Linked DNA regions of Caenorhabditis elegans. The protein of the gene in region 2 purifies or fractionates together with the protein of the main gene of each other region. This does not show direct contact. Each region holds a gene or a part of one and is shown on either strand. Other genes may lie near its edges.

What was found. The genes of interacting proteins can lie anywhere in the genome.
Region 1: the proteins of snpc-3.4 (region 2) and T10D4.11 fractionate together in Caenorhabditis elegans (co-fractionation; one large-scale study listed by BioGRID). This does not show direct contact.

Annotation. Positions count from the first base shown.
Region 1 is NC_003280.10:3,146,337-3,151,192, reverse strand, and holds T10D4.11 (CW domain-containing protein), read left to right. Parts: upstream 1-1,571; coding exon 1,572-1,686; intron 1,687-1,732; coding exon 1,733-1,872; intron 1,873-1,919; coding exon 1,920-2,155; intron 2,156-2,201; coding exon 2,202-2,245; intron 2,246-2,293; coding exon 2,294-2,436; intron 2,437-2,482; coding exon 2,483-2,685; intron 2,686-2,745; coding exon 2,746-2,761; downstream 2,762-4,856. Other genes in the region: T10D4.1 (DUF19 domain-containing protein), read right to left, coding at 504-701, 749-888, 945-1,053; T10D4.15 (CW domain-containing protein), read right to left, coding at 4,428-4,633, 4,699-4,759.
Region 2 is NC_003281.10:4,015,241-4,022,030, forward strand, and holds snpc-3.4 (snRNA-activating protein complex subunit 3), read left to right. Parts: upstream 1-4,796; 5' UTR 4,797-4,919; coding exon 4,920-5,022; intron 5,023-5,067; coding exon 5,068-5,206; intron 5,207-5,257; coding exon 5,258-5,362; intron 5,363-5,407; coding exon 5,408-5,519; intron 5,520-5,567; coding exon 5,568-5,753; intron 5,754-5,811; coding exon 5,812-5,969; intron 5,970-6,015; coding exon 6,016-6,282; intron 6,283-6,350; coding exon 6,351-6,537; 3' UTR 6,538-6,643; downstream 6,644-6,790. Other genes in the region: C36E8.4 (SH3 domain-containing protein), read left to right, coding at 156-308, 358-501; tbb-2 (Tubulin beta-2 chain), read right to left, coding at 826-1,019, 1,075-1,548, 1,626-2,144, 2,217-2,382.

The sequences.
Region 1 (4,856 bases), on a different chromosome or scaffold from region 2:
GACCTTTTTTTCGGCACTGTTCGGAATATTCACCAAAATTAATTTTTTAAACTCATAAATGCAAAGAAACTTCAAAAATTGATTAATATGTACGGAATTTATCATGTTAATTTCAATTTTACTAACTTCAATGGTAAAAGAATTTGATTTGTTTAAGAAGCTATTTAGTTTCTTTTCTAATGTGCCGAAGTGACGAGTGCCGATCGGCACAATGTGCCGACTTTTTTTTTTGAAAACGAAAGCACCAAAGTCATACAGCACAGGGCTGCCTTCTGTATCTGTGTATGAAACGGTATAAGGTCCGTCGATGGTGCACTGAATAAATTTTCCACCGCTTTTGGATTTATATACTTTGTTATCAAACTTAACAGTGTGTTAGTCAAGCTGAAATCATTTATTATTTTTAAAGCATTTCAATTAGTTTATTCCAGGTTTGAGCTCACTCAAGATGGACACTCATCGCTGGAATATTGTTAAATTAATCATGTTTTCACCTTTACCACTTACCACAATACAAAAAAGACCTTGGATTTCAGCCCATTAACAGTGTCCTCTTCGACCAGGCTGTTTGAAAAGTCCGATCCTCTATAGACAGCTCCTCTTGGATATTTTGTGATGTACCATTCATTATTTTCACAGATCACGCCGCATTGTGTAAAGATGTCAAATGGGCCGGCAGTACCAAGAACAGCTTGAACAGTCTGAACCAGGAATCTAGAAATTTTTACTGAAAGCATGGAAGACTCACTCCAAGGCCCGTAACGTCATCATCTGGCTTAGGAATTTCGGATTCTCTCCAACGAAAGGCAATTGTAGTATGAGTACCTGGCACGCACGTCGCATTCCGATTGCATCCAGCATTTTCCGTGTAAAATATGTGTTCTTCATCTATGTAGAAAAACGATTTGGTGGAGGAAAAGGTAGTAGGTAGTGCAAAAACTTACTTGTTATTAGATCAAGAAAGCTTGGACACTCACAATCGTCTTCGCATCCATATTCGTCTTCGCAGGCAACATAGCAAATGAGAAGTAGGAAAATGAGATATTGCTTCATTTCGACCATAGACAGTATAGTTTTGAGTGGCTTTTATACGGTTAGCTGATCAATAATCTTGTTAAGTGTTACTTTCCAAATGCAAATTAGAGTATTTAACCAAACATCAATGCTTGACTACTTCCGGCTTTGCGGAAATTTAAAGTTATAATTCAAGAATATACATAGACCATAATTTGAAAAGTTTAAAACTTTTTCCCATGGAAAGCAACACACCCAAGATTGGCTTACAAAAGTTTCATTAGTGATGAAAAGCGTGATAACTAAAGGGTAGGTAGGCGAATCCTTCTACCTACCTTTCTTGGTATAAGTTGGTCTGATGTCGACAAAATCTTTTTATCCGGCTCTATCTTAAAATGGCAACTGACCGAACATCTTTTGTGTTAATTAATCAAAATGTCTACAGTATTGATCTCTGGTGCTCCAACATCCTAGCTATTAACATATTAACAGATCAATTTACGAACCAACTCGGTGAATAAAAGGACAGACGTTTAGAGAATTGTTCACATGACAACATGAAAATCAAAATTTTTGCTTTTCTGGTCATATTTTTTTCGTGTTTCTGCATGGAACGTCTAGCATGTCAGAACCAGAGTTGCCCGTGCTCCAATCTCTATGACAACCTGAACGGTAAGCCAGCTGCTCTGACAGTTTAGTCGTAACTAGATGTATTCAGATGCAGAAAACACGGTATACTACGAGGGGCTAGGTTGCTCCAGAACCGTATACTGCACGGTCGGCTATTGGACGTGGCTAACTTTGTCCTGGGAGTTGTCCGACATACCCACTCCAAGTGACATTTACGAGGATACATTTGTGAGTTACAAGCACTTTAACACACCCTCAAGATTGATTACGTTTAGTTTGCTTTCACTTGGAATCATACAGACCCTATGGGGGTTTATGCCGGGGGTCCTATCACTGACCTGGTCTCTCTGTTGGGAATGCAGTGTGACCGCAGTACAAGCCAGTGGATTGTGACAAGATACCCATTTGGGTATTCCTATTTCAATCAAAACGATGAGAAGATTGTTATTGATGGGTACAGCGTGGAAGGCGTCAGATCAATAGTTTCGTCGACGGATTCACGATTTTCTTGGTACCCGTGAAATAATACGATTTAAAAAAATATATACAAGTTTCAGCGCAAATATGTGCAGATGTTCAGACCTGATGAGCTTGGTCGAGGGTATTTAAATTGGTGGGCTAGCTCTCAAGCCAACTTAATTGATTTCAGATTCGTCTGAAAATATTCTGTACACCTTTAATGGAAATCATTGCAGTAGCAATTTCACTTGTAATGCAGACTCCCAAACATTCATCCGATCTAGTTTTGACGGGTCGGAGATTCCTGGTATTGGTAATCGTACGGGTGCAATGGTAAGGGAAACCAGAATGCATCATCAACTTGACTAAACAATCTCAGCTGATTCCCACGATTCCCGAAGAAGATCAGCCAGAACACTCCTCTATAAACATTATGGTCGAACTCGGGATATATTGTCATGAAGGGGAATGGTATGTAACACAATATCCGTATGGAGTTACATACATGGATGATACTGGAACGAAATACATCACCGGAGAGGATTGGGGAGGGAAGAAATCTAAAGTTCTTGGGTTCAGATGGTAAATGATTTTGACTTTAGGTTATTTTGAATTTAACTGATTGTGAGTTTGATTTTTCAGTACAAAGTGGCCTTGAACTTCGTCGATTGTAGCAATAAATAATGTCCATGTAGACTATTGTTAAGATATCAATAAATACAATAGTCCTTCCGCACTAGACGCAGACCACATATGATGTGCAACTAATTTTATTTTGGCTTGTTAGAATGTAAGAATGTTGAAGACTGCAAAACTAATTGAGAAAATTTTGAAACACAACAGTAGTTTCTGGACAGGGCTGCCTTCTGTATCTGAATATGAATAAGGCCGCCTTTGAACCGCCAATAAGCCACTGAATATATTCTCCACCACTTTTGGTTTATATCTTTTGTTATCAATCCTAAAAGTGTGTTAGTCAAGCTGAGATCGTTTATTAATTTAATTTTTAAACGGTTCAAAAATTTGGAAAATGGGGGTTTTATTTCTGAAAGTTCTTGAAATTTGATATTATAGATCTGAGAATAAATTGTAGAAAGTCTTGAGTGGATAACATTTTTTTAACCTTTTTTTTGAGAAGTCGGGGGGGGGGGGCAGTACTAATAGAATACGGTTTAATTCAAAGTACACTGCATTCGTCATTATGTTCTTGAACAGAAAGCACACATAATTCAACAATCGTTTTAACAAAATTTCAGAAATTAAATCTTTCATCAAACAAATCTGTCTACTTTTTGACCACCTGTCAATTTTTACATATTCCGTAATAAAATTATGTTTTAAATTCAGAAAAGCTCAACATTTGCAATAAAATAGCTAGACAGTTCTGAAAGAAGAAGGCGATTATTATAGTACGTATTTCAAAAAAAAAAGGATCTTTCAGAAAATCCACATTAGTTTCGTTCTTGCGTCCCATTGGTCAACCGCGGAATTGAGAGATGATCTTCACTATTTTGTATTGTATTATTTTTTTAATGACGCCACGGGTGCCTGGGTCGTTGTAAGCGTGTAAAATACATGCAAATCTTCAACAAAAAACATTATGTTTTAAACATTTATATTAACGTTTTTGCAACGACATTGAACAATGAGTGTATGATAACCATTTATTACGACAATCGACACAATACACGACTTCTGTCCCTTTCACGGCCATTCTTTGCTGAAATTGGTATTTTATTTGTTAATGACGTAATTTAATTTCAGAGTACCAAGACATTGAGATAAAGGTGGATCTGACGTTGTCAATCTTTTCATTAACGACAATCTTTTTGCCTCTATTGTCGAAATAATAATACCCGAACGGGTATCTGGTAATGTACCAGAAATATGCAAAACATCTGTCATTGACAAGCGACTTCGTATCGCAGGCACATTGTATTCCCAACAGAGATACGAAATCAGGGTTAGTGGGCGGAAGTTGATTATAGAGCGTTCGATTCCACATTGAAGCATACTGAACTTGAAAAAATTAGCGTCTAATGCTTTGCGGAAATGTCAACGTTTGGCATTTTTTGTGACAAATCAAACTAAAAGACCTTTCAAATAATTGATGAATTATTGAAAAAGTATATATTTTTAATTTTTCTATAAAAAATTGGTTACTGTTCCAAAGTTGAGGGAAAAATACGGTAAGTGTTTTGAAAAACTGAAAAACGGAAACTTTTTTGAATAAGAATATCATTCATACTGGGGTGCACGGCAATCGAATTTCAGGCAATTTAGGTAATTTCGACAACTGCCGGAATTCCTGATAGTAGGAAATTCTAAAACCCAAAGTTGCAAAAATTGACGATTGCCGCGCATCGTTGAATCATAATCACGATTAGGCCATCTCTTATGTCACTCGGAAGACTCGGGAGGCCGGACCAACTTGCAACTGTATCCGCAACGGGGTAATGATTAGATGGGCATGTAGCACTTATAGTGCATCCCTTTCCCTCATTGTATAACATTGTGTCTCTTGAATAATCTGAAAATAGCTAGATGAAACATAAAGTAATGTAAACCTTATCTGCACGAATTACAATAGCTTACAATTGATTCTGCTGGTAAAGTTCTTGCACGGGCAGATTTGATCCTCAGGCCAGGTGCTTACCTAAAAAAGTGTGAAGAGTTTAAGAACTGAAATTAGAATTGAAGGACAATCTTCTCTGAAAACCCGAAATCATAGGGGTCTATGCTTTCAGTTAATG
Region 2 (6,790 bases):
TCGATAAAAAATTCCACACCAATAAGTTTTAAATTACAGTACTATTTAAAGGCGCACGCCTCTTCGAATTAAACACCCTTTTTCGTATCGAGACCGCGTACCGTATTTCTGCCGCGAAAAACCCATGTAAGTAGTAATCATTTTTCAATCTTCAGATATCCGACGACGGTTTCTACTCAACAACAACAACATCATCAAATGGTGGTCCTATTCGAACAACTACAACTTTCGATGAGCCCACTTCAAGTCCACCGACAATTTGTAGAGTTCTTTATGATTTTGAGCCGAAGCATGCTGACGAGATTGAGGTGGCTCTATTTAATTGAGATCTATATTATAAATCTGAATTATTTTAAGATTAGAGAAGGTCAATGTGTTCTTGTCGAGGATCGAATAGGAGATGATTGGCTCATTGGGCACGTTATAAGCCAACATGACAATTCTTCAATTGATCCACGATCTGGAAGATTTCCAACCACATATGTTTCTCTTAGGCAATGAGACTTTTTTCTTGGCGGCACAATAAAGTTTCCTCTTTTTGTTGGGTCACTCAACGAACACAATACAAATATTTGAGCGCTCGCATTTTTCTCAACCTTTCGGGTTTAAAGCACTTCAAAATGGAATTGAAGAGAGATTGTGAAAGTACATCAGACAGAATCACATTTTGATAGCATTCACTTCACTCAGATGCAAACTTTTCAGTGACTATAAAAAGTCATAAAATAATAACATTAAAAAAGCAAATAAATTAGCGAGAGAATTTTTTGACAAAAAGAAAGAAGAGTGATAGAGAAGAAGGGAATGCTTGAAAGGATCTTGCATTTATTGCTCCGATTCGTAAGTCTCTCCAGCTTCTCCCTCAGCGTATCCGTCGACGTCGTCTTCGGCAGTTGCTTCTTGGTATTGTTGGTATTCTGAGATGAGATCGTTCATGTTGCTCTCGGCTTCGGTGAACTCCATCTCGTCCATTCCTTCTCCAGTGTACCAATGGAGGAAAGCCTTGCGGCGGAACATAGCTGAAAAAATAACGTTTTTAAAACTGATACTGGATGATAGTTTCAAATTTCTTACCAGTGAACTGCTCTGAGATACGCTTGAAAAGCTCTTGGATAGCGGTCGAGTTTCCAACGAAGGTGGCAGCCATCTTGAGTCCTCTTGGTGGGATGTCACAAACGGCGGTCTTGACGTTGTTCGGGATCCATTCGACGAAGTAGGACGAGTTCTTGTTCTGAACGTTGAGCATTTGCTCGTCAACCTCTCTCATCGACATGCGTCCACGGAACATAGCGGCCACGGTCAGGTAACGTCCGTGTCTTGGGTCACAGGCAGCCATCATGTTCTTGGCATCGAACATTTGTTGGGTGAGCTCGGCGACGGTAAGGGCACGGTAAGCCTGGGTTCCCTTGGCGGAAAGTGGTGCGAATCCTGGCATGAAGAAGTGAAGACGTGGGAATGGAACCATGTTGACGGCAAGCTTGCGGAGATCGGCATTGAGCTGTCCTGGGAATCGGAGACAGGTGGTAACTCCGGACATGGTGAGGGATACTGAAAATTGTAATTATTAGGTTTCAATTTGGGTAACTTGTGCATAACTTAAACTTGAACAAGAAATAATAACTTACCAAGATGGTTCAAATCACCGTAGGTTGGGTTGGTGAGTTTGAGGGTACGGTAGCAGATGTCGTAGAGGGCCTCGTTGTCAATGCAGTAGGTCTCATCGGTGTTCTCAACAAGCTGGTGGACGGAGAGGGTGGCATTGTATGGTTCTACAACTGTGTCGGACACCTTTGGCGATGGTACAACCGAGAATGAGCTCATGATTCTGTCTGGGTACTCTTCGCGGATTTTGGAGATGAGAAGTGTTCCCATTCCAGATCCGGTTCCTCCTCCGAGAGAGTGAGTGAGTTGGAATCCTTGAAGACAATCGCATCCTTCGGCTTCCTTGCGGATCACGTCAAGCACATTGTCGACAAGCTCAGCTCCTTCTGTGTAGTGACCCTTGGCCCAGTTGTTTCCGGCTCCGCTTTGTCCGAACACAAAGTTGTCAGGACGGAACAGCTGGCCGAATGGTCCAGAGCGGACAGAATCCATGGTTCCTGGTTCGAGATCGACCAACACGGCGCGTGGCACATACTTTCCGTCTGAAAAAATTTAATTAATTAATCATTCCAACTAAACGATTTCGAAATCTCCAGAAAATTTTAAAAACTCACTGTTGGCTTCGTTGTAGTAGACGTCAATGCGCTCAAGCTGGAGATCCGTCTCTCCCTTGAAGGTTCCGTCTGGCTGGATTCCGTGCTCGTCGGAGATGACCTCCCAGAATTTGGATCCGATTTGGTTTCCGCATTGTCCGGCTTGCACGTGGACGATCTCTCTCATTTTTGCTGAAAAGGTCGTAATGAATTGAAAAACTATATTTAGATAGAGAAGATGAAGGAAAATAACAAAAGAAAGAGAACACGTCATGGTCGATATTGAAAAGCAATGATTCACGGCAAAAATTTAAAATTAAAGGAGTAAGTTTTTTTAATACATTGAAATTTGAGAGATGTTTAATTGGTGATTTGATTCTAGTTTATTGTGCTCTGAAATTAAATGATTCACGGCGAAAATAAGAAATTAAAAGACGAATTAGGAATAAGGTTGAATAAGGTTACCTTGAAAAATATAAGAGATGTTTAATTGGTGATTCTTTTCTATTCTATATAGGTTGATTCTAGTTTATTGCACTCCGAAATTAACTACTTTCGATAAAAATTTCAGCGCAAGTACCTTTCTATTTGCTCTAAAATGAGCCCACTTTTCATAATCGCTACCCCAAAAAGGAAACAAAAGGACGTTGTAGGAGCAGACATGCAGCTCTTGGGATGTATGGAATGGAGACGAAGAAGAGGCGGGTCGGGCGCAGTTGTGTCCGACGCTGTGTGCATTCGGATCGATAATCGCGAGAACACGGGGCGCGCGGCGCCCGCTCGCATTAAAAACCGCAGTGGCCACTGGGGCAGCAGTCGTTGTTGGACTGCAAAGGGTGGTGAAATCGAATAGACTATTGCGAAATATGCAGATATGGGTAGAATGGGTGAAGAGGAAGAGAGCAGAGGCAAATCTATTGCGAAACATACACAAAATGTCCATCAATTCCCTCTCTTTTTGCTTAATCCATTTGTTTTGCGTGTCACCACTAGGTTTGGCAGAAGGAGATAGAGCACACGACACAGATGGCTTTTCATCGGGTGCAATTTGGTGCTATTGGTTTGGGGTAGAGAGGGAGATGCCGCTTGGCGCGCAGTAATCCTATGGGAACCGAATGAAATGTGCTGGGGGCCTGCAGCTTTGAAAAGCCTTCAGAATAAAAGAGATGAAGACGAACCGTGAAGAAAAACGAGGGACAAAAACTAGTTCAATGCGATGGAAATCGTACCCCTGTTGACGGCTGCGGTGGTGGTGAATTGAGAATTGCGGAGAAAAGAGAAACGGAGATGACGTGGCAGTGACAATCGGCTTGGGGTCGCCTATACAATACGATACATATGCAGCCAATACTTCGTCACACATGCAGCCAGTCAGAGAAAGGTCAATTACCGTAGTACACGCGCCAGGAGACAATGTTAATGGGTACTATCTAGATCAGTTGCTGGTTGGATAACGATTTTAAAATACAATCCAAATCAACGGGAAGCTTCAAAAAAAAATTCCAAGAAATAACTGACGAAAAAAGTCGAGTTAAGGGTCGTGTGTCGGCGCTGGGGACGAAAAAGAGCTCTACTCTTACCCCCACTTTCCGTTGTCGATGAGACACATTATACCAAGCGAGAAACATAGAGACTGGCGCCGCCCGTGCTTCCCTCCCTTCTCCCGTCGTTTTTCTCTCCGCGCCCTCTATGTTTCGGATGGACAGGGACGCGAATGCTTTGTGACGGCCTTGACCAACGGGCGACAGCGGTGTCCCTTACCAACCCGCCACAGGCGAGGCATTTCAAAAAATGTGCCCATCCATCTAGCAATTTGAAAAGACGACGCGCCTGGCTTACGAAGTTAAGGAACTAGCCAACTGAAAAAGTGGAACTCAAAATATTAATCAGTTGCAAAGAGAAATTCTATTTCTGTGATTCATTCGGCGCCGAAAAGTAGAAACAACAGAAGAATTTGAGCTGATAACACGCAATCTAGGGAAATGATAAGAACAGAAACAAACAGCAAACAGTTTTTTGGGGAAATTATAATGGAACAGATACTAAAATGACCCGAATAACCAGAAACCATGACAAGCTGTGCAAATATGTTACACGAGAAGTACTTGTACATGTCGAAAATGATGAATGGTATCCGCCTATTGCGCCCGGTTGAGCTGATCGCAGCAAGGACATAATAATTATATATCAGATAAACACGGTGGCTGACCTTCAAGAAAGATTATGGCGGCCTATTTTATGCAATTTTATGCATCAATCACGAATAAAACTACAAAATTACAATTTCCCCAGTCTCCTAAACCGCTGAGAAGGGAATAGTTTATGAATGAGTCACCTTTCACAGGAAATGGAACAGAAAAAGGAAGCTAAAATGAGGGGCAGAACGTTTTAGGACAGACCATTTGCAAATTTAAAGCGCGAAACGATGCAGAAGTAGCTTGAAAGCGTTTTAGGCAAAAAATTGCAAAAAAAAGTAGCGAATGAAGATGAGAATGACAAAAAGAGGGAATGTTCGAGGCCTAAAATTCAAAATTTGCCGCCCAACAAAATTTCCCGCGCACACAAATGTGCATTATTGCGCGTCGGTGTACAATAAACTGTGCAAACACCGTTGTACACCGTACCCCTCCAGAAAATTGTTTTTTTTTTTGAAAAAGCAATTTTTCGAATTCTTTTATCCAACTTTCTCCTCCGTATAACTGTTTGAATTCAATTTTTAAATAAATGGACAGAAAGTTCAATTCTGATGAACAATGGTATATTTCTCCACTGCTCAATTTAGCCACAGTGAAGGAAGAGATGCTGGAAGTTCGAGAGTTGGGAGAAGGTTAGTTTATTATCTTAAAACAATCGAATATTGTCGAATTTTCAGTTATTATCGATAGAACAATGGACGATTTCGATTCAAAAACCGAAAAAGAACATGAAATGGAAATGTGGAAGAACAGTCTGTCTTATATTCAAGGAGTAACAGAAGAAGAATCATTGGAAGCTATTGAAGAAGTTTCAAAGTAAAGTAAATTTCAAAAAATCGAAAAACAACTAATTTTATTGATTTTCAGCCTCGATATGTTTCTGGAGGGGTCATCAGACGTTCAAACTCGACGATTTGAAGATATGAAGGGGGATCGCAAGTTCCTCGAACGATCACCGCTAGTTTCCCACAAGTAAATATTATTTAAACCTTTTATTCAAAAACTATAATTTTTCAGACATGTGATAAGTCGAGAAAAGACTATGAAAACTTCAAGGCAGCGGAAGTCCGCATATGTCACGTCACTGAAATATGACAAATACATGTTGAACGCCGGAGCAAATACTTCTGTAAATTAATTAATAAAAATAAAAATCTTTATAAAATAATTTTTCCAGCTTTTCCATCCTCAATGTTCAATATTAGAGAAATGTGAAGATGACATTGTCCTTATCGTTGATGCACTGATGCCATACAATCGAGAACTTTTATCTTCTGAACTTCGGAGCTCGCGACTTTTGAAGCCAATGACCAAGTTTCTTGTTCGTGGAGACACCCTTCTTTCGGATTTACGGCAGAAATTTGTATGATTTTTTGAATTTAAAACACACATTAAATATTTAATTTTTTTTAAACTTTCAGGTATGTCAAAGTGATACAATTGTTCCATTGGAGAATGGTTTGGAGCTGGATCCACCGAATTTGGATAATGCAACCGCAGTTCGATTTCCATCATCATTTATATTTGTTCATGATACCTTTTATGTGGATATGCCACCCAATGCAATTGACATTTCACAGTAATTAGTAATTTTCTTTAGAAAAATGTTTAAAAACATTTTTCAGCCCAATCCGCAACTTTATGCTTCACCGCGAGATTTATGATCCAGTGGAGGCTTGTAGTATGGAAGGAGTCAGAATTATTGACCTGAAGCTGCGTCTAGGGCAGCCGTACATATTCCAGCATTCTGGGAATTGTGAACATCTACTCGTTTTTCATGATTTGCGACTTCTTCATGAATCGGACCCGTGGGGAATCGATAAATATCCATTCACCTTATACGAGAAGGGAAATGAAAAGAAATGTGATATTTGTAAAAAAGGGCATGTGGAGTAAGTTTAATTCGCAAAAATTATTGTTTTTCCTCAAAGTAAATTAATTTAAAATTTTACATTTCCAGATTCGTCGTCGAACGCCACGAGCTTCTTCCCAACACCTACACACACTTCTGCAGGACATGCTTCCAGGAGTTCAACTATGTGCATGGTGTCAAGACGCATTCATTCATTGCTTGGCCGTATACAGAACTACAGACTGGAGAGCAAAGAGGATGGCCGTTTGGAGATTTTGAACAAGAAGATGATTGAAATAATTTTGATATTTATTTCTATTTATTTTGCAAAAACTTTATGTTTTTACTGGTATTTTTTATAGAAAAAAGGAAATGCTGGACATTTAAAAATTTTATTGTTCTTTTTTAATTGGATTTCATCTGATTGGTTTTGTAAACCATTTTTATATATTTAAATTTGAGTTTTTAAAACTATTGAATTCACTCGACAGGCGTATACGTATTGTGCGTCGAAACACGCTTTTACTCGTATAATTAAATTAAGAAGC